5 linked regions of the Mus musculus genome follow. The protein of the gene in region 5 binds, or shares a complex with, the protein of the main gene of each other region. Links are inferred from orthologs where the notes say so. Each region holds a gene or a part of one and is shown on either strand. Other genes may lie near its edges.

Region 1 (4,037 bases), on a different chromosome or scaffold from region 5:
TGTAACAACCAGGGCTGGAGAGATGGCTCAGTGGGTAAGAGCACTGACTGCTCTTCCGAAGGTCCTGAGATCAAATCCCAGCAACCACGCCCTCTTCTGGGGTGTCTGAAGACAAGTATAGTGTACTTACATATAAGTATCTTTGGGCCGGAGCAAGCATGAGAGAAGGAAAAGAGGGGGGGGGGGTAGCAACTGAATGCCCTCCAAAACAGAGGCAGAAGGGTACTTGGTAAAAGTGGTATAAGAGAAGCCAGCCTTTACTTCCTGGTCTTTGCTACCAGCAGTGGCAAACAGCATTTTAAATAGGCAAAGCCCCATACGATTTACTAGCCTAGAGACCCATCCCATGGGCAAACAACAATCCCTGAGACTGTTGTGCTTGCAGACAGGAACCTCGCATGGCTGTCCTGAGAGACTCCACCCAGGAGCTGACTCAGGGATGCAGAGACCACAGCCAAACATCCGATGGAGCTTGAGGACTCCTGAGGGCCTCCGAGGGGATTGGAACTCCACAGGAAAACCAAGAGTCAACTATGACCCTTGGGGCTCTCAGAGACTGAACCACCAACCAAAGAGCATAGACAGGCGGGACCTAGCCCCCTCCCACACACACACGGTCTTTCATGTGGGTCCCGAACAACTGGAGTAGGGGCTATCCCAAAAGCTGTTGCCCTGCTGTGGAATTCGTTTCTTCTGCTTGTCTGGACTCAGTGGGAGAGGATGAGGCCAGCCCTGCAGAGACTTGATGTGCTAAGGTGGAGGGAAAACCAGAGGGGGTCTCTACCCTCTCAGAGGAGAAGAGAAGGAGGGGGTGGGGAAACCGGGAGAGGCGGCAGCACTGGGGATGTAAATGTGAATTAAAAAATAAAAAATTTTACAATCATAAGAAAATAAATAAAATTACATTTCCAGCACCCGACTGAGCCAGGCTACAGTAACAAACCATTTTAAAATATGGAAGGTGACTCAGGGATCCTCGGCTCATGAGCTGTGACAGGGGACACCAAGTGTGACTGCTCAGGACATGCTGTCTGCAGAAGATTCATTTCTATTGCACTAATACAGTCATGCAAGTGGGGAGCCCACAGACTTTGACAAAGATGCCTGCGTTTCCTCCCCTCAGCTCCGACCAGCTCAGCCAAACAGTACCATTCCCAACAACCTCAGCGCGCGCCACACTTCCGGGGCGGGGCGCAATCGCGGTCCGTTTCCACTGCGTCTGCGCTCCGGATGAAGTTCGCGGGACCTGCCACCGGAAGCCGGGTTTCTACTTCCGGGTCAAAGCCATGGCGGTGGCAAATTCAAGTCCAGTCAATCCAGTGGTCTTCTTCGATGTCAGCATTGGCGGCCAGGTGAGGTGCGGGCGACCTAGCGGCCCGTGCGGGCTGGTTGGCCTCGGGTAAGGGAGGCAGCCCCTTATAGCCCTCCCGAGACCGGCTGGGCCAGGCGGCGGAGGGAGGTGGGAGCTTTCGAGCTTCGTGGACAGCGGTCGTGAGCTGAGTGTTGCGTCTCCCGTTTCTTCTGCAGGAAGTTGGTCGCATGAAAATCGAGCTCTTTGCAGACGTGGTGCCTAAGACGGCAGAGAACTTTAGGTAAGGATATGCTCCAAGTGAACCAGAGCTGAGCCCGAAGCCGGCCTCCAGTCGGTCTTTGCCATGTCTGCCTCTGTCCATCTATTCATTGCCTTGCAGCTCTGTGGTCTGGGTATTTCACTGGCCAAACAGCTACCGGCTGTGACTGATCCCATATCAACTTCTATCACTAGTCTACCTGCCCTGACATCCGCCCGATCAGTTAGTTGGCGGACATACTGGCCCCAGTGTTTGAACTCTCCTCTCCAGAGATTAGAGGTGCTTCAAGCAGTGATCGTACGAAGGCTAAATCGTTTGCTCTCTCTTTCCCTTTAGGCAATTCTGCACCGGAGAGTTCAGGTCAGTCTCAGATGTGTTTGATTTCTCTGCCTACTCCTGAAGGGGTGCCCTGGATGTTTGGTGAGGGTATTGGAGAACCATGAACAGGTCTTAAGTAATGGAAGATGATATGCAGAGAGAGGGTGACACCTTGAATGGGTTCTTTCTCTCTCTTTTTCCCCCTCCAGATCTTAGTGAGAGCCCTTTTAGCCTCTGGTGTAGCCTAAATGGGAAAGGCCCACCATTGTGTTTCCCCATTCCAAGTCTCTTCCTTCTTTGTTTACAGAAAAGATGGCGTTCCGATAGGATACAAAGGAAGCACCTTCCACAGGTAAGGGAGGTTTTTGGAAAACTGGAAATGCAGTCATTGCTTGGTATCTGTACAGGCAGTCCTGCACACCTGAGTTCAAACTCTGTGAGGCTTACGGCTGTTGTTTTAAATGGCATGTTCGCGGCTGAGGCTGTAGCTCGGTGGTAGAGAATTGGCCCAGCATTCATAAGGCCCTGGATTTGGTACTGAACACCATGAAGCCTATGCACAGCGCCTTAAGTCATCCCTGACTTGGTGGAATGCTGTATTGCAGAAACGATGCCAAGGAAAGCATGCTGTACCCTTTCAGTACCTGTTCAGTACAGGTGCGTGGCCACGTGCTCCCAGAGGTCTAAGCTCAGATCCTTAGGCTGCCACAGCAAGCACTTCACCCACTGACCCATCTCCCTGGCGCCAGTCAGGACTTCAGCAGAGGCTTTGCTAGTTACCGTTGCTAGGCAGTCATCTGTAGGAGCCTGGCTTTCATGATATATTTACTTATTTTTTGTTAGAGTTTGACAGAAGTTGCTCTATTCTAATCCTGAAAATGTCCATGTCTCCCACATAAGGGCTTTAAAGCTACAGTCTGTAACCCTCCCTAGCATTCTTGTGAAGTAGTATGTGTTTTCCGAGTTCTTCAAGGAAGGCTAAGCAAAGCGAAGGGCCATAGCTGGTGTACTAGCTAACACCATCAAGTCTCTGTGTGTGCAGTAGTCCATTCACCTAGATTTGCTGTTGTTCTTTTCCCCCAAATTGCAATAAGCCCTGGACATGATTTTTTCCTTTGGTGACTGTTGGTGATTCTAGCCTGGTTTCAGCCCCTTCCTGATGTTCAGGTGCGAACTCACGCATCTAAGATCAACTGAGTTAAGACTGTACTTGCTCGCCCTTTTCTAAGCTTCAGTGATTAATCCACTGAATCTTTTCTCAGGATTTTTTTTTTAACTGTTTCAGGGTCATAAAGGATTTCATGATTCAGGGTGGAGATTTTGTTAATGTAAGTACTGCTTCTTTTCTTTGTTATTTTTTTCTGGCAGGGCCCTAGTCTTGAGACTTAAGAGCAATAGCTAAGTTAAGTGGAGAGGGCATGGGATGTACTGTAGAGTTGCTGGCTACCACTGACTGTGTCCTTAGAACACATAACAATACTCTACTGAACCATAAACTTCCACTTTCCAAACCCTAGCTGTTTGTAACTAGAAACTGGGCTTTGCTGGCATACCTATAGGTGATCTGAGACGGTCCACATTCATTGTTCACAGAAAACTTTGAAATTGACTGCAATTTTTCCCTCAAAAGGAAGGGAGCTGACTGCTTTTGTCTCCCATTTTTCCTTCCACATCTGCACATCTTCTGTCACTGTCTAAAAACTCTAGTTTTTTGTTGGATTGCTCTGGGGGGGGTTAGGGGCCGGTCTTTCTTTCTCTTTTCCTTTTGAAAGCTAAGGTATTAATCACAAGCTGGTTAGCAAGCAAGGGATCAGATCAGGAGAGACAGGAAGTTTAAAGGGTGTTCGCTTGCTTGCTGAGGTAGCCCAGCAGATCCATTCTTCACAAAAAGACCATGACTGTTGGTGTCTCCATCCTTCCTTGGAGTGTGTCCAATAAGCTAGAATATCTCTTTCTTAAACCAGCTCTTTCCTTACCCATCCACCTCTGTGCATGCTGTCTCCTTGCTGTTAGCATTGTTTATGTGGGTGTGTTACTAAGTCCTTTTGTCTGAGAGATGGTCTTACTCCATCAGTTGTAAATTTAGTTAGATTTTTGTGAGTCTTTAGAGGTCTTCCTCCTACACAGGGTTGCAATGGCAGGCTTTAG
Region 2 (4,166 bases), on a different chromosome or scaffold from region 5:
AAAGAGGGCAGTTTCCAGAGGACAGTGGCCTGCTAAATATGATGTAGAGCCCTGGCCCACTGGCCAGATGCAGCAAGCCCTGACACACTTTCAAAAGCTCATGCTCAGCCAAGAACAGGATGTGGGGATAAAAGCAGCCAAAGAGAGATGTTGGCCACATGGTGGAGAGCCCAGGAACCACATGTGTGAGGAATGCCTTAAAGCTTAGCCAATCAAGGAGGCACATGCCAGCCAGTTGTGGCAGCACCGGGGAGGCTGAGGCAGAGCTGCAAGCCCACCGCCAGCCTGGGCCATACAGGGAGACCCTGTCACAAAAGTCTGTAATCTCAAAAAGGAAAAGAAAAAGTATTTTTAAAAATGACCTGGGCTCTTGTTTCACAAGACAAGAGCGTACACAGTAGCAGGACGCACTGGCCACCCTTCAAACCGGCCCAAGACCCAAGGATGCAACACTCCAGGATCTGGGACTGAAGGCTGGAGCCACAAAGACAAAACAAGAAAGGACTCTACTAAGCCAGGAGTTGCGATGCGGCGCGTGAGATAACTAGGCCGGTGTTTTGCTTTGAGTTCCAGGTTAGCCAAGCCTCACCGGGTGCACAGGGACAGCCAGGGCAACATGGGAAGTCAGAGCCCAGCCTGGACTGCAGAGCGAGCTGGAGGCCAGCCTGAGCTGCGGAGCAAGTTGGAGGGCAGCCTGGACTGCAGAGTGAGTGTGAAGCCAACATGGGTTACATAGTGAGTTCAAGGCTAGCCTGGACTACGCCGAGTTCGAGACCAGCATGCCACCTCTCTCAGAAAGCAAAGCACACCAGAAGCCAGCCTCCTGCCAGGGCGCACCCCGCGCACACCTGAGGCGTCCCAGCAGAAGCTCGTCCCCAGCGTTCTGCACCGACCCTGAGGTGGGGACCCCCTTCCGCCCAAGGTCACAGAACAGAAGCCGGGGTGCCGGGCTGCATGCACCTCGGGGGCCGCGCTGGACGCCCCGGGGATGGAGCGCGGGAACTCGCCCCATTCTGCAAAAGGGGAAACTGAGGCTGGCAGGAACAGCGGCGGCGGCGGTTGGGGCCCCGGGGCGCAGGGCGGGCTAAGCCCCGCCAGAAGTCTGCGGTGGCAATGAGCGAGTGGACCGCAAGGTCAAGGGCACGGTCAGGAGTTGGGGGGCCGGGCCGATCGGCCGTGGCGCTCACCTGGGCCGCGAGTAGCAGCAAAGCTGCGGCCAGCCGCGCCGCGGCCATGTCCGCCGGTCCCCCCGCAGCTCTAGGCGGAAGGTTTCCTGGCAACGCCTTCGGGACGCCGCAACGTGCTTGCGCCGAGGCTGCGCGTGCGCAAAGGCCTCCGCGTTAGAAAAGGGCGGGGCGGCGCCTGCGCAGAGCGACGTGAGGCGACAAGATGGCGGTGAGCATGTCTAGATCGTGGAAAGCAGGGCCGCGGGATCGAGGGTCTGTGGAAGCGAGAGCAGAAAGACTGAAAGGAGAGTGACGGACGCCCTAGAGTAGGGAGACAGGGTGCTGAAGGATGGGAGCCACGTGGGACTGCAGACGGAAGCCATGGGTACAGACCAGGTGACATGAAAAACAGACGACCGACATGAGGATGCAGACGCGGAACGTGGGGGTTGCAGACCAGGCAGACAGGGGTGCGTACAGGAAACAGTGCAGATGGGGTATCCAGGGATGCAGATGAGGACGTGGGCATGCAGACAGAAATGCAGACTCGGGCATAGCATTCAATTAGGCAGACACTGGAGGTGAGGATGCACCCAGGGTTCTGGGAGCCTGAGTTGGAAAGGAGTCCCTGGGTGCCATGCCCAGGCTACAGGGATATGGGGAGGCTGGACCTCTCTCCTCAGCGCCCCACCTCCCAGCAGGACAAAGAGAAAAAGAAGAAAGAAAGCATCTTGGACCTCTCCAAGTACATCGATAAGACCATTCGGGTGAAGTTCCAGGGTGGCCGGGAAGGTGAGTGCCTACCGCAGGGCTCCCTGACACAGAGCTTGGCTGAGGTCACAGCAAGCAAGGGAAGCCACCTAGTACAGGCGTTCCAATAATGGCTTGGGCTATTGTGTACCATTGAAAGGTATGCCCCTATTGTGGGTGGGGAAACAGAGCCCCAGGAAAGGAGTCAAGTGAGATTAGCACCCAGACCAGTATGGATGGATCCTGAAGGAAGGGGCCAGGACCCACGAGGAGGTGGAAGGAGGTGATAGGAAGCCCTGTTCTTAAGCACCTGGACACAGCAGGAACCTGGAAGGTTTCCCAATGAAAGGATTGAAAGTTCCAGGCCAGTTTAAGTTATGTAGCAAGATCTGTCTCCAAGAATCAACCATGGGTGGGGCTGTATGTCTGTGGGTAGATTGCTGGTTTAGCATGCATAAAGCCCTGAGTTCTATTCCCAACCCCGTGTAAACCTGGCGTGGTTGTATAAGCCTGGCATTCCAACACTAGGGGTAAGACAGGAGGATCAGGCTGCCTAGTGAGTCTGAGACCAGCTTGGGCACATGAGACCCTGGGGGGGGGGGGGGAGACTGTTTCAGATTGCATGGATGGGTGACAATAAAGTTTTATGGACACTATATAGCACCTTCCATACTGGAAAGAAGAGGGTTGGAGTCACAGTGACTAGGCCACCACACTTACTTACTCATGAGTTCTGTGGTGGCAACTGTTCCTGAGCTGCCATACCAGGTTCTATATGTGTTACGGGGTGGACTGACATTCTTCTCCATGTCTCGCCCGTGTTCCTCAAGCCAGCGGTATCCTGAAGGGCTTTGACCCACTGCTCAACCTGGTGCTGGATGGGACCATGGAGTACATGAGAGGTGAGCCGGCCGAGGTTGTTGTAGGACGGTGCTGGGGACCTGTGGGGTCAGATTACAGCAGGTGGTGACTTAGGGTGCAGTGTTGGAACACCAGAGGACTGGTGTGCTTGCCGGGAGGGCCTCAGGCTTGAGACTTCCAGCTCACTCTCCTCAGGTAGCTGGCTTTATCCTCAGCCCTCAGGACAGCAGGAATGGTGGCCGCTGTCCTCGGCCAGGAATGTCTACCTGCATCAGAGACTCCAAGGCTCACTGGATCTCAGCTCTGTATAAGCAGGTCCACCCTGTAGTGCCCTGAGCAGACCCCTGCCCCCCACACCAGGTTTCCTGTCTCCAGCCCTCGTGACAGTTATGTCTGACTGCTTACCAGCTCCTCCTGTTGCCCACCCTCTCCAGTGCATCTGCTGCTCAGTAGATGCCCTTGGTGTTTACGGGGTCAGCATGGGCTCTAGCGTTCTTGAAGTTGGAGATGTCTGGCTCCTCCCTCAGCCACCTTCGTGGTTCTGTGGTTTAGACTCTGCTGGTCAGGTGTTTTGAGAGCATCTGGATCTGTCAGTCCCCAGAAGCTGTGAGTGAGAACTCTCAGGCCCCTGAGGTCCCGGCTGTGGCATGCCTATGGATAGATATGCACCTCAGTCCTCTTGCCTCTCATCCTACCAGACCCTGATGACCAGTACAAGCTGACGGAGGACACTCGGCAGCTGGGGCTTGTCGTATGTCGTGGCACCTCGGTGGTGCTCATCTGCCCACAGGACGGCATGGAGGCCATCCCCAACCCCTTCGTGCAGCAGCAGGACACTTAGCAGCAAAGGAGAGCGGTCCAGCCCCAGGGATCTTCCTTCTATGGGGTGAACTTCTGTGTGATGTTTTGGTCTTTTGTTCTTGTTTTGTTTTGTTTTGTTTTTTAATAAAATTGCCCATGTGAGCATCTCCCTCCCTTCCTGCTCTGTAACTTTGATCTTTGGAGAAGCCAGAGCCATGGAGACACCTTGATCAGACACCGTGGTCCAGGGCAGAGCACAGCACAGCCAGGGACTAGCACAGGGATGGGAGAAACCTGGACGCCTGGTCCCGCAGCCCAGCCGGCTTCACCTGGTGGGCTGTGGCAAGAAGACCACACCTAGAAACACCAGAACCTGGTCTTCCTCCATATGGCATCCCCTTAGCACTGGCCCCTGCCTGTTCTCTCTGCCCAGGGGAACCAGGAGGGCCTGAGAAAAGGATTGGCTAGCAGGGAGCCTGGGCCCTGAGGTTCCTCAGGCTGGGGTGCCTCCCTAAAGCGTCTGCCACAAGAGAAGCAGCCCAGGCAGGGGCTGGGGCGGGGCCAGGGCGGGACTCTGTGCTCCTGTGG
Region 3 (4,149 bases), on a different chromosome or scaffold from region 5:
AGCTTCCTGTATGTGTTTTCAGGTTTGAGTCTGAAGCAGATAACCAGGAACGAAGTTTGTGTATCTGATAAATTGTGGTCCTCAAACCTTTCAAAGATCTGCTGAATATAGCATTTTAAACATTTAAGTTTGCTACAATGAACTGTGACCGTTCCAAACAATAACTTTTGAGGTCTCCAAAAAGATGGGCCCTGCAACAATGAATCCACCTGGATTATGGTAATGCTAACCACTGAGCAAAACTGTTCCATGCCTCTTCTACCACCAAGTTCTGTGCAAACAGTGGATTCCTTTGGGTTACCAAGCCAGGATTACCACTAAGCTGACAAACACCACTCAAAAATAGCTCTGGACTACAAAATTGCTGAGGACATTCAAATTGCTCAGTTCATATAAGACTGAAACAAACATTTTACAGAACTTTGAACTCAAAATACTTAATCCTAAGACTGCTAAATACAAACAAGCTGTGGAAAGCTTGGTAGAAACAGCTTCATTATTGTCAATAGTTTTGCTGTATTACAGTTAAAACCTTTCCTTTTCATTTAGACAAAAAGGGGTAAATGTTGCAGGATATTTGTCACACTATGAACTGAATTATGCTATTAACTGGAAAAACCTGTTTCTCGTTGTGTTGTGGCTCAGTCTTAGCACACGCTTTAATCCAAGAGCTTTCTGCTTGAATAGTGTAAACAGGATTAAATAAAGTCAACCATTGGTCAAGAAGCAGAGCAAGCAACCAATTGACAGGAAGTGAATCTAGGATTATTGAGAAAAAAACAAAAACAAAAAAACAGAGTAAGAGAGAGCCAGGAGGACAGATAGAGAGATGCACAGGAAGTAGAAGGGAGGGACATTCAGTTTGAAAGGTTTTTTTGAGAAGGCAAAGAGAGGGGGGATTTCTTCTCGGTACTGGCTGAGGAAGGTCAGCTGAGTACTTTTTCTGGCTCTCTGAGCTAGCAGGCTTTCACCCCAACATCTGACTCCTGATTCTTCATTGGTAAAATGAAGCATCTGAGATATTGTTTTTAAAAAACTAACAACAGGTAACTCTAGCCTAATGTTAAAGTCCCTGTGACTTCCAGCTCTTCTTCTTGCAATTCCCACTCTTCTGGATTCTTTTTTTTTTTAATCTAGCCCCACTGGGCTTGACCTTGTTCTTTTTGCATTTATTTTTATGTGTATGTGTGTGAAGCTGTGTATTTAACAACACCACATGCATGCAGGTGGCTGTGGAGGGTATCAGGTCCCCTGAAACTGGAGTTATAAGCAAGCTGTGAGTCTCCTGACAGGGGTCATAGGAATCAAACTCAAGTCCTTTACAAAAGCAGTAAGTGCTCTTAACTGCTAAGGAATCTCTCTAATCCCTTTTATATTCTTTAAAGAGGTTGGGCAAGACATTGGAATCAAACCCAGGGCTTTGTCAGTACTGCTCAGCTACATCTTCAGCTGCCCTTTTAAACTATTTATTTATTTAGTGTGTGCGTGTGACCTGACATATCTGTAGAAGTCAGAAGACAATTTCAGAGAATCAGTTCTCTCCTCCTACCTCGTGAATTCTGGGAACTCAAACTCAGGGTTGACAGAGCCTTTACCCTCTGAGCCACTTCACCAGCCACCTACTTGCCTTTTTATGTGCCTATACCAAATTCCACGTTTTTCCTTTACTCCCCCAAAATCTGACACTTCGTAAACCCAACTAAAATGCCACACTGCTGAATATCTCTTGACTTCTGTCCTACTTTTTGTGCTTATTTATACCAATACCGAACTTGTCTTGTGAACTGCAAGTCTTCTGAAAACGGCTGTGAATGCCTCCCTTCTCCTACCATTACCAAGGAAGACTTATGTTTCCCTAATCAAATGCATAAAAAGTAGGAAAAATACTATTCATCTACCCAACACCTTATGACTAGTGGCACTGCCATCTCTGTCCAGACGGCTGAGAATTTGAACAGGTGACCTACAGCCACACATCCTAGAGAAAAATGTTTAAGGGAAGAAAGGTATAGCACACTCTTACTGTATACATCAAAGACTCAACTGCTTCTTACAGCCAACTCGCTTACGGATATTACTTCAGACACCAAGACACTGAGATTCAGACCCCTCAGTCATATCTTAGAGTGGTAGTCAGGCCTCATGAACCTACATATTTCGACACATACATACATACATGCATACCCACTTTGTCGGAAAGGCATTATGCCAAATTACCTAGTTGTGGCGGTGAAAGTTAACCTTGTTTTTGAGACAAGGTTTCGTTAAGTAATTCTAGCTGTCCTGAAACTCGCTGTGTAGCCCTGGCTGTTTTGTAATTCGCTATGTAGACGAGGCTGGTCTCTTAACTTAAAAACGAAGGCCTCTGCCCCTGCCCCATCCCATCCCACCCACCCCCCACAACAATGCTGGGGTTAGAGACGTGCGCCACTAGCTCCAGCCCCTGGTTTTTTGTTTTATTTTGAGACGCGGTCTCTCTAGCTCTAGTGGCTGCTAGTCCAGAATCGTTCTCAAATAGGCCAAGAGCGAGCTGTGTTCCAGGGCACCAGGCACCCTACCCGGGGCAAACTCCCCCCCACTGCCTTACCCCCTGCCCAGCCCGGGTACGTAGCCCAGCGGCGCAGGCATGCCCAGGAACGGCTTCTTCTTCTTGTTCATGGCGGTGTTATTGACCGAAACACAGAAAAGCAGGGGAGCAAGTATACGACAGAAGACTCAGAGTCCTCCGGGTGTCGCAGCAGTAAGAGATGCAGGCACTACGTCACCCGCGCACCGGAAGTAGAGAGCTGGGTCACGGAAAGCCCCGCCCACCTAGAGCTTCGGGCGGAAGTCAAAGATGTGGGTTTGCAAAGTGTTTCCGGCCAGCGCTGTGTGCAGTGTTTGTTGCGGGAAGACGCGCGTGCGCGTGACGGTATTCGGTATCGCGCCACAAGGACGTGGGTTCGATTTTCATGCCAGCCTTGACGCGGAGCCGGAACGCATTAGTCCTGTTCAGGAGCGTTCCGGTGCAAGCAAGGCTGCGAAGCCACTTAGTTCAACCACCATAACCACTTCAGACTAGCCTTACTGTACTGAACCGTATGCGGCCACCGACGGTCCAGACTACGCCATCAGATCCGGGACCACTCCAACCCCCGCGCGCCTTCTGAGGACAGATGTATAGTGCACTCAACAGTGTGTGGGCCAGCGTCACAAGCTTGGGAGTGATTGTGTGCCCAGTGGCTTGAGTGGACTCACACCACTCTACTTTGCACAGATATTTTCTGTGTGCAGCTCCTCCCGAAACACAATGCCAGTCCCACCTGTTGTGTAATAATAGCTTCAGGCCGTGAATTAGGCTGTACAGGGCATTAACCCCACGCTATAAAAAGTTGCTTAGCCTCGGCGATGTCTACCTGCAGAAGCAGTATGCCACCCCTGGGAAACAACCCTGCTCCGAGTTAAACCTCAAAAATAGCTGTAAACTCCTGGTAGCTACTCTGTGTGTATGTCCCAGCCCTTTTAGGTTAGGGGCCCTCAGTGTTTAAATAAAGCAGTCTCAGCCCGTTGAGACAGTCTGCCTCTCAGCCTCACTTGTCTTACACCTCCTACACATGGGGAGAGCACCAGACTCTAGGGCCGACAGGAAAAACTGCAAGTTGTGCAGCCTGGACTCTGCTGGATCAGACAACCAGGCCTCTACAGCCAATGCTTTTCAGTGAGGTACTAAAGCAGTCCTGGCTCCCTAGACAGGTTTTTAGGGAGGAGCAGGATTGAGTCTGTGAACACTGACCCACAGGGAACTGTGCCTGACAGAGGGGCTTCACAGAGATAGGAGTATTGCCTGAAGTTCAAAGCAAAGTGGTCCGTAAATGAGGGTCAGCAAATACTCCAGTAAAGAATGAGCTAGTAGCTGACTCAGACAGATACAGACACCAACAGCCAAGCAGTGGATTGAGCTTGAGGATTCTTATGGAAGAACAGGGGAAAGGATTGTGGGTCCTGAAGGGGATAGGAACTCCACAGGAAGACCAACAGAGTCAACTAACCTGGACCCTTGGAGCTCTCAGAGTCTGAACCGCCAACCAAGGAACATACACCGGCTGAACCTAGGTTTCCCCACTCATGCATGGCAGATATGTGGCTTGATGTGGGTCCTAAATAACTGAA
Region 4 (4,179 bases), on a different chromosome or scaffold from region 5:
CTGTGGGCTCAATCAGGAAGGATTTCAACCGCAGTGTTCAGTGCAATCTCCAAAGTTCATTCCTTTTACTAAACAGCAAACCTCCTGGGGCTTGTTCAGAACCCACTGCATGTTCTTCTAACAAAGTGCTAAGCGCTTTTGCCTGCTCATATCAAGATTAAAAATAGCCTAACAGCCACACTGGGAAGGAACTGCTTGGCAGCTACACAAATGAGCAACTCATCTGGAGAGCAGGGAGGAAACAGAAAGCTGGGCCGTTACTGCAGAGGTAAGAGCTGCAGACAACTCCAAGTTAGAGGCCACAGTCTGGCCTGGGGATCATTCCGTGCACCAGAGTGCCATGCAATTTAGCATCATCCCACATTTCTCACCAAACTGACACTGCTGTTCCCACAAGGCCAGCTTGTAGATCAATTCTTTATCCTTGGGTTTCATGAAAGAACATGAATTTCTAAGACTGAGACTGAAGTGGGATGGCCTGGTCCCCTACAGTGGCTCTGTCACTGTCAGTAGAGGGTTGTTTCTAATTTCTAAGCCTGAACTAAAAGACTTATTTCAATTCCTGTTGTAAACAAACAGCCCTGAGGGAAGTAACAAGAGGAGACAAAACCTTAAGTACACAATGATGGGACCAATTCCTCAGACATATAAATGTGCACAAGCAATATCTGTGAAAGTACCCATTGCAGCTTTATAGCTGGGGGGGGGGGGGGAGACTGAAGTCTGACACAGAATCCTGTATCCTGTGGCGTTGTGTCAGCTGTGTAATTATTCCACACAAAAAACATGTGAAAAAAGTGTGTACATATGAGACAAGGTTTCACTATGTAGGCCAGACTGGCCTCAAATATATGATCGTCCTGCCTTGGTCCTCTAAGTACTGGAACCATGGCACATGCCTCCGTTCCTCACTAGGCTCCCCTTCAGACACAGGTGGCATATACACATGCAGACGACTATGCAGCCAACTTTGAACAGTGGTCAGACATAGAGAAAAATGGAACTTCGCCTTTAATTTTACCCATTTCTATGAAGTTGTTTTTGTTTTTGTTTTTTTTTTTTTGGGTAGTGCTAGGGTAGGGGCTTTGCCGCATGCTAGGCAAACTATCTCTAGCCTGCTATTTAATTCTTTTCATGACAAAACAGAGCTTTATATGTCAAAAGCTAAAATACCCTATCCAATAACTTTAAAAAATCCAGGACAATGCCAAGAATGAAGAGCATGTCTGTAATCCCAGCTCTCAGGAGAGAGGCAGAGGGAGCTGGAGTTTGAAGCTAGCCAGGTTTTCTAGTATGACCTTGTCTAAACCCAAGAGAACAAACAAGTTTATTCATAAATAAGCAGAAGACAAAACTGAAGGAAACGAAAGTGTTCTCTATGGTTGGAGAGATGCTCAAGCTAAGAGCACTGGATTCCTGAACAGGACCTGAGCGTATCAGGCAGCTCACAACAGTCTGTAACTCTAGCTCCAGGGGATCAGATGCCTTGTTCTGTCTCACCGGAGTCCCACCCCTCTCTAAAAAACCATTCTGGTTAAGGAAAACATATTTTAAAAGTGAATAGAAGGATTTTCCAATTCCCAAAAGAAATTCAAAAAAGTAAGTTTACACTGCAGTTCTAATTTGTAAGGAGGTAGGATGCAGCCTCTGGCTCTGAGATGTTTTAACAGACTTACGTGTAGTCTGCCTCGAAGCTCTCGGTCATTTCTCATTTTCACATAAATTCGCTCATCCAGGCTGAGCCTGATCAGATCCAGGGGCTCCTCTACGGTATTGGTGGTCTGTTGCTGAGGAAAGGCAAAGGCTTACTCATAGGATACAGAGGCCGGGTGGTGTTTCAATCACTGGTCAGCTGAGAGAGCAGCATGTGGGTGCTAGTACACAACCAGGGTTGTCTCCAAGATCAGCAAGCGCTCTTATCTGCCAAGCCACCTCTCCAGCCCCAATAAATCCCCATTAAGGAACTTACACTCTAGTTGTGGAAGAAACACTTTAAATAAATACATATTTAAAACAACATGCTCTGGAGAGAAACACAGTAGGGTAGCACGTACGTACGTACATACGTGTGTGTGTGTGTGTGTGTGTGTGTGTGTGCAGGGGCTATACATATTTAAAACAACATGCTCTGGAGAGAAACACAGTAGGGTAGCACGTACGTACGTGTGTGTGTGTGTGTGTGTGTGTGTGTGTGTGTGTGTGTGCAGGGGCTGTGTGTGCATGTGAGGGTGTGAAAGACATTTTGGTGGCCAAGGTACACCAGCTACCTAAGAAATAGGGAAGGGTAGGTGCAGAGGCCCGTAGGCCCTTCTGTTGGCCTGTGTACCAGATCTTTGCTTGTTTTCTTCATACTCCATCTCTAGCAGTTTCTCCATCTCCTAGAACTGCACCTTTCCTCTGACCTCCCCTCGTAATTCACTCCAAGGGAACCACTGCCTGTGCCCCCCGTGTTCACTCGGATTGCTAAACTGGTGTCCTGCTACGACCTCCCGCTTTCTGTCGGAATCCCGACAGCTAGCTCCCAGAGATGGGCATCTCCAGCCGCCTGCATTCATTCTACAGAGAAAGGGCGACGACGAGCGCGATGGGTAGACGGGCGGGTTGAGAAACTCTGGGCCTACGGAGGTTTCAGGAGCAGGCCCGGCTACGGAAGGCCGTGGTGACTCGGAAAAAAAGAAAAGGGCCATCCCACGGGAAGCGTGGAAAAAGCGAGAAGCGAAAGCATTTCCTCTTCGAACGCCTCAGGTCAAACTTACCTGATCTACGTCGTCCGCCATGTTTCAAACGCTGCGCCCTTTCCACCTCTCGCGGGAACAGGAACTCAGAAACCTTAGGCCGCCACGCACTGAAGGCGAACTATATTATTTTTGTCCCTTCGCGCCCTCGTAGTTTGCATGGGGGCGGGGCTTCCTTCGAGGGCGTGGTCCTACCCTGGGCTGGGGGCGCGGCCAGGCGTGGCCCGCCTCCGGGCGGGGCGGGCACGCGGAGACCTGCGGCGTCCTGCGCGGTAGTCCCGAGGAACGCCTCTGGCTAGCATGGCCCCAAAGCGCACCGCAGACGGAAGGCGGCGGAAGCGGGGCCAGAAAACCGAGGACAACAAAGTAGCCCGGCACGAGGAGAGCGTTGCGGGTGAGAGGCCGAGTCTGCAACATGCCAGGCAGTGGTGGCTGAGGCTGGTGCGGGCGGCGGAGCGGATCTGCGCCTGTGGCAAGGTCTCCACGGCCGGGTGCGCGGCGTCCCCGAGGGCCTCTGCTATCAGCCTTAAACCCCTCTGTTAACCATTAGAGCCAAGTTCAGCCTCTAAGCAAGTGTTGAAGGCTGAGCAGCAGAAAGCTTCGCAGTTACCAGGTGTCTCAAGGAGACCCCAAAACCAAGACGGAGGGAGACTCTAGTGCGTGCGAGATCTCTCTCCAAATTCCCGACTGCCATCCAGTGTAACTCCAGAGTTTAGGATGTGCTTTGTTGTTGTTGCTTTGTTTTTCCGGACAAGGTTTCTCTGTGTAGCCCTGGCTGTTCTGGATCTTACTTTGTAGACCGGGTTGGCCTCAAACTCAAGAGATCCACCTGTCTCTGCCTCCCTAGAGCTAGGATTAACCCGTGTCTGCCACTGCGCCCTGGCTAGAATGCGCTTCTTACCTAGATCTTGAACAAAGCAAAACTTCCATCTTCCCTCTTAAACAAATCCATCCTCCAGTTGTTCCATTTCAATAAATCACACCTTTTCTTAACTGCCAGTTCGGCAGCAAGTCCAGTCAGCTTCGGAACCAATGAAATCTGTACCTAATTCTCTTTAATTTTATAGCTGGAGATCCTGTCCACAATTGAGTAAGTGAACTTCACGTTGCTTCTTTTCTGGCTTCCTCTCATCTGTCTGCCTCAGGTCATCATCTAGCAGCCAAACGGATGTAGAACAACAAAACCTCATGCCTCTGTCTTCTTATCTAAAACCCCCTCAGACTTGCGCTCTGCAAGTATAGCATCTTCCTCACTTAGCTGGTTTCCTACAGGATTTAGAGGCTGTCACAATTCTGTCTCCTTTCCAAATATTCTTGTTTTGATTTTTTCCTGTTTATTTTAAACAGCAGGCTGGCCTAGAAATCTGGATCTTTCCGTTTCAGATATTCTTATTTTGATTTTTTTTTTTCCTGTTTATTTAAACAGCTGGCTGGTCTAGAAGTC
Region 5 (3,500 bases):
GTCTTCTTTAAGCTTTTTAATTTTCTTGACCTTTCTCTGTTCTGCTGTAAGTTTTCGGGCCGCGTTGGCCTCTTCATGCGCTCTGTCGTGACAGGAAGGACATCCACAAGTGAGAAAGGCATTGCCGATCAGAGGCAGGGCTAAGGGAAAGAGAGAGCAACAGAGGACTCTCTCCTCCCTCCAATACCAACCCCAGGAGGGTCTGGAAAGGTAGTGTCCTGGGCTCTGCCCTATCCCACCCTACCGCACCCCACTTACTTCTGTCTCTTTGCCATCTGAGCTCTGACATGGGCTTCTACCTTTGTAGGGTCTTGAACTGCTTCTGTTCCTAATACTCGCATTAAATTTGAGATTCTCACTACAATGGAAAGAAAGCAGCAATCAATCTCCTAATCTCTTAAATTACTTCTCTAGCTAGGATAAAGTATTTATATATACTATTTCTAGGTATATTGCCTCCTCTATATATGTATATACACATACATATATACAAACACACACATATATGTGTGTGTGTATGTTTATATGTATAAATGTGTGTGTGTGTACATATATATGCACACACACACATTTATATACTCAAGAAAACAATAGTTGCATATTTGTGGAGTTTATTTATTTTTAATGCCAATGAATGAGAAATGAGAAATAAGAAATTAAGTTTTATGTTTTTTATGATATAAGTATACTGAATTTTTTAGATAGTTTGAACTACTATAAAATCTGAGTTAAGCAGGTAAGATTTTTCAATGTAGGAATTATTGTAAAATGTGAATTTTGAGCAGACTTGAAATAAGCAGTGCTTGAGAGCAGGAACAAAAAACAACAACCATCAACAACAAAAAATAATTAAAAACAAGCTCTAAATGACTTCTATAATGAATGTGTTGTTCTGCCAGAAGAAAACATCACAGGTTAAAAAAAATCCTGTAAATGATTCAGAAAAACCATCAAAGACATTAAAGTGCCTTTATAAGACAGACTGACTGACTCACTCACTCTATGGTAGCAGGCCAGCAGGCACATACCTTTGGGCTCTGGAGGAGGTGTCAGGCCTAGCCTGACTTTCTCTTGTAGCTCTTTCTGTGCTTCCCTTCTTGTTTGCCTCCGTAGTTTCTTCTGCTCCTTCTTCGTAAGATATACCCCAAGGGTAACTGGTGTATCATTGTCAACTGTTAAAAAGAAAAATGAGTTACCAAAGCATAAATTATAGAGGGATTTAGGTGAGTATGCATCACTTAGAAAAACCATCAACTAAAATCTGAGGGAGGAGGTCGAGAGACAGTCGTGCTTTGTAGCTCAGACTGGCCTATTGCTTCCACCTCAAAACTGCTGAAATCACCTGCATCCACTAACTGTGCTTGACCTATTTGGTTTTGTTTTGTTTTGTTTTGTTTTTTCAAGACAGGGTTTCTCTGTGTAGTCCTGGCTGTCCTGGAACTCACTCTGTAGACCAGGCTGGCCTCAAACTCAGAAATCCACCTGCCTCTGCCTCCCGAGTGCTGGGATTAAAGGCGTGCACCATCACGCCTGGCTATTTGTTATTTTTAAGTGGTGAGACTGATAGTATAATTTTTTTTACTAAGTGAAAGTATTATGGCTCATAAATGTTTTTTCTTTAAGAAGTTGTTCACTTTCAGCAAATGCAAACAGTAGCACTGGCTAAGAATCTGAGGAAGTAAAAGAATCCAGAACTCCACTTGGGTCCTACTTTCTATAATTTGCTGCTTCTATGGAATACAATTTGAAATTCCCTAACCTACATAACAATAAATTTTGCGTCGGCAATGCAGCTATGCTAACTACTGTACAACCTCTGCGCTCAATTTCAGTACTAGGAAATGGAGGAAACCCTCTGGAAGAAGCTGGCTGGAGATGGTGCAGTGGTTAAGAATACTTACTGCTAGCCGGGCGTGGTGGCGCACGCCTTTAATCCCAGCACTCGGGAGGCAGAGGCAGGCAGATTTCTGAGTTCGAGGCCAGCCTGGTCTACAGAGTGAGTTCCAGGACAGCCAGGGCTATACAGAGAAACCCTGTCTCAAAAAACAAAAAACAGAAACAAAAAACAAAAAAAAAAGTCTCTAAACTCTAGTTCCAGGAGATCTGGCTTTCAAAAGCACCTATATATGTATGTTTCTGGCATATACCCACATACACGCACATTGTCCAACTCCCCATAAACACCTACATAAAAATAAATTTATTGGGGCTGGAGAGATGGCTCAGTGGTTAAGAGTACCGACTGCTCTTCCCGAGTTCAAATCCCAGCAACCACATGGTGGCTCACAACCATAAGATCTGACTCCCTCTTCTGGAGTGTCTGAAGACAGCTACAGTGTACTTACATATAATAAATAAATAATTTAAAAATAAATAAAAAATAACTTTATTATTTAAAAAAGTACACACTGCTCTTGCTGAGGATCCAACTTTATAGTACCCACCTTGGGTGGCTGACAAGCAAGCCCCTGTAGCTCCAGCTTCTGATCACCAAGGGCATCTGTAGACACACACACACACACACACACACACACACACACACACACACACCCCAGACACATACAGATTCTTAGTAATAAACCTTTGCTGGAACCTCACTCTAATTCCACCAATGGGCTTGATAGTAAAATAAAACTTAAAAAAAAGAAATCCCTATACTTTTAAAGCATGTTTGTTTAAAAAAAAAAATCCTCATATTCCTCTGACAAATACTTATGGCAGCTACATAAAATCTGATTAAGTCTAGTTCCTATTTTTAATTTGTATTAGAGGCTGAATGTCCCTAATCTAAAAACCTAAGATCGCCAATACTACAAAATCCAAAATGATTCTTTGAATAGGACCTCATGTATCTCAGGCTGGCTGGAATTCAGTATTTGAATTCAGTAGATGAGGATGACCTTGCACTTCTAATATCCCAGTCTCCCTTCAACCCCCCCACACACCTCCCTCTCCCCCTCTCAAGATTTATTTATTATTATACATAAGTACACTGTAGCTGACTTCAGACACACCAGAAGAGGGCATCAGATCTCATTACGAGTGGTTGTGAGTCACCATGCTGGGATTTGAACTCAGGCCTTCAGGAGAGGAGTCAGTGCTCTTACCAATTGAGCCACTTAGCCATCCCCAATCCCCCCATCTCTTTTCGAGAGCTGACATTAAAAGTGTATGGCACCATACTTGGATTATGTAGGGCTGAGATCCAACCTAGGAGTTAATGCATGCTAGACAAGCATTCTACCAACTGAGTTATATTCCCAGTTTCAGAAACCCTGGAAGCCTTTTAAACTTGACTTGTTTTGTATGTGTGGTGTGCAGACACGCATGCATATCCACATGTATGTACCTGTGTGTATGTAGACCAGAGGCTAATTGGAGTCTTCCTTGACTGTTGTCCACTTTGTACACTGAGGCAGGATGCTTGTTCTAGGGATTGTCTGTCTCTCACATCTGTGTAGCAAGTGCTTTACCCAATGAGCCACCCCTATCTCTTGAAA

Evidence for each region. Proteins that work in one complex are often made in the same cells at the same time.
Region 1: Prpf3 (region 5) and Ppih share a complex: the UniProt entries of both Homo sapiens proteins name them as parts of the U4/U6-U5 tri-snRNP complex. The link is inferred for Mus musculus from reciprocal best matches to the Homo sapiens genes PRPF3 and PPIH.
Region 2: Prpf3 (region 5) and Lsm7 share a complex: the UniProt entries of both Homo sapiens proteins name them as parts of the precatalytic spliceosome. The link is inferred for Mus musculus from reciprocal best matches to the Homo sapiens genes PRPF3 and LSM7.
Region 3: Prpf3 (region 5) and Prpf6 share a complex: the UniProt entries of both Homo sapiens proteins name them as parts of the U4/U6-U5 tri-snRNP complex. The link is inferred for Mus musculus from reciprocal best matches to the Homo sapiens genes PRPF3 and PRPF6.
Region 4: Prpf3 (region 5) and Lsm3 share a complex: the UniProt entries of both Homo sapiens proteins name them as parts of the precatalytic spliceosome. The link is inferred for Mus musculus from reciprocal best matches to the Homo sapiens genes PRPF3 and LSM3.

What each region holds. Positions count from the first base shown.
Region 1 is NC_000070.6:119,317,724-119,321,760, reverse strand, and holds the start of Ppih (peptidyl-prolyl cis-trans isomerase H), read left to right. Parts: upstream 1-1,237; 5' UTR 1,238-1,286; coding exon 1,287-1,352; intron 1,353-1,527; coding exon 1,528-1,592; intron 1,593-1,907; coding exon 1,908-1,931; intron 1,932-2,196; coding exon 2,197-2,241; intron 2,242-3,174; coding exon 3,175-3,217; intron 3,218-4,037. UniProt on the Homo sapiens protein: PPIase that catalyzes the cis-trans isomerization of proline imidic peptide bonds in oligopeptides and may therefore assist protein folding. Participates in pre-mRNA splicing.
Region 2 is NC_000076.6:80,852,410-80,856,575, reverse strand, and holds Lsm7 (U6 snRNA-associated Sm-like protein LSm7), read left to right. Parts: upstream 1-1,366; 5' UTR 1,367-1,389; coding exon 1,390-1,395; intron 1,396-1,419; exon of another isoform or gene 1,420-1,515; coding exon of another isoform or gene 1,516-1,551; intron 1,552-1,864; coding exon of another isoform or gene 1,865-1,867; coding exon 1,868-1,958; intron 1,959-2,746; coding exon 2,747-2,818; intron 2,819-3,475; coding exon 3,476-3,618; 3' UTR 3,619-3,751; downstream 3,752-4,166. Other genes in the region: Sppl2b (signal peptide peptidase-like 2B), read right to left, coding at 1,188-1,235. UniProt on the Homo sapiens protein: Plays a role in pre-mRNA splicing as component of the U4/U6-U5 tri-snRNP complex that is involved in spliceosome assembly, and as component of the precatalytic spliceosome (spliceosome B complex).
Region 3 is NC_000068.7:181,599,970-181,604,118, reverse strand, and holds the start of Prpf6 (pre-mRNA-processing factor 6), read right to left. Parts: upstream 2,801-4,149; 5' UTR 2,659-2,800; coding exon 2,588-2,658; intron 1-2,587. UniProt on the Homo sapiens protein: Involved in pre-mRNA splicing as component of the U4/U6-U5 tri-snRNP complex, one of the building blocks of the spliceosome.
Region 4 is NC_000072.6:91,514,656-91,518,834, reverse strand, and holds the start of Lsm3 (U6 snRNA-associated Sm-like protein LSm3), read right to left. Parts: upstream 2,801-4,179; 5' UTR 2,778-2,800; coding exon 2,757-2,777; intron 1,788-2,756; coding exon 1,677-1,787; intron 1-1,676. Other genes in the region: Xpc (DNA repair protein complementing XP-C cells homolog), read left to right, coding at 3,036-3,129. UniProt on the Homo sapiens protein: Plays a role in pre-mRNA splicing as component of the U4/U6-U5 tri-snRNP complex that is involved in spliceosome assembly, and as component of the precatalytic spliceosome (spliceosome B complex).
Region 5 is NC_000069.6:95,835,386-95,838,885, forward strand, and holds part of Prpf3 (U4/U6 small nuclear ribonucleoprotein Prp3), read right to left. Parts: intron 1,173-3,500; coding exon 1,029-1,172; intron 359-1,028; coding exon 259-358; intron 141-258; exon of another isoform or gene 83-140; coding exon 1-82. UniProt on the Homo sapiens protein: Plays a role in pre-mRNA splicing as component of the U4/U6-U5 tri-snRNP complex that is involved in spliceosome assembly, and as component of the precatalytic spliceosome (spliceosome B complex).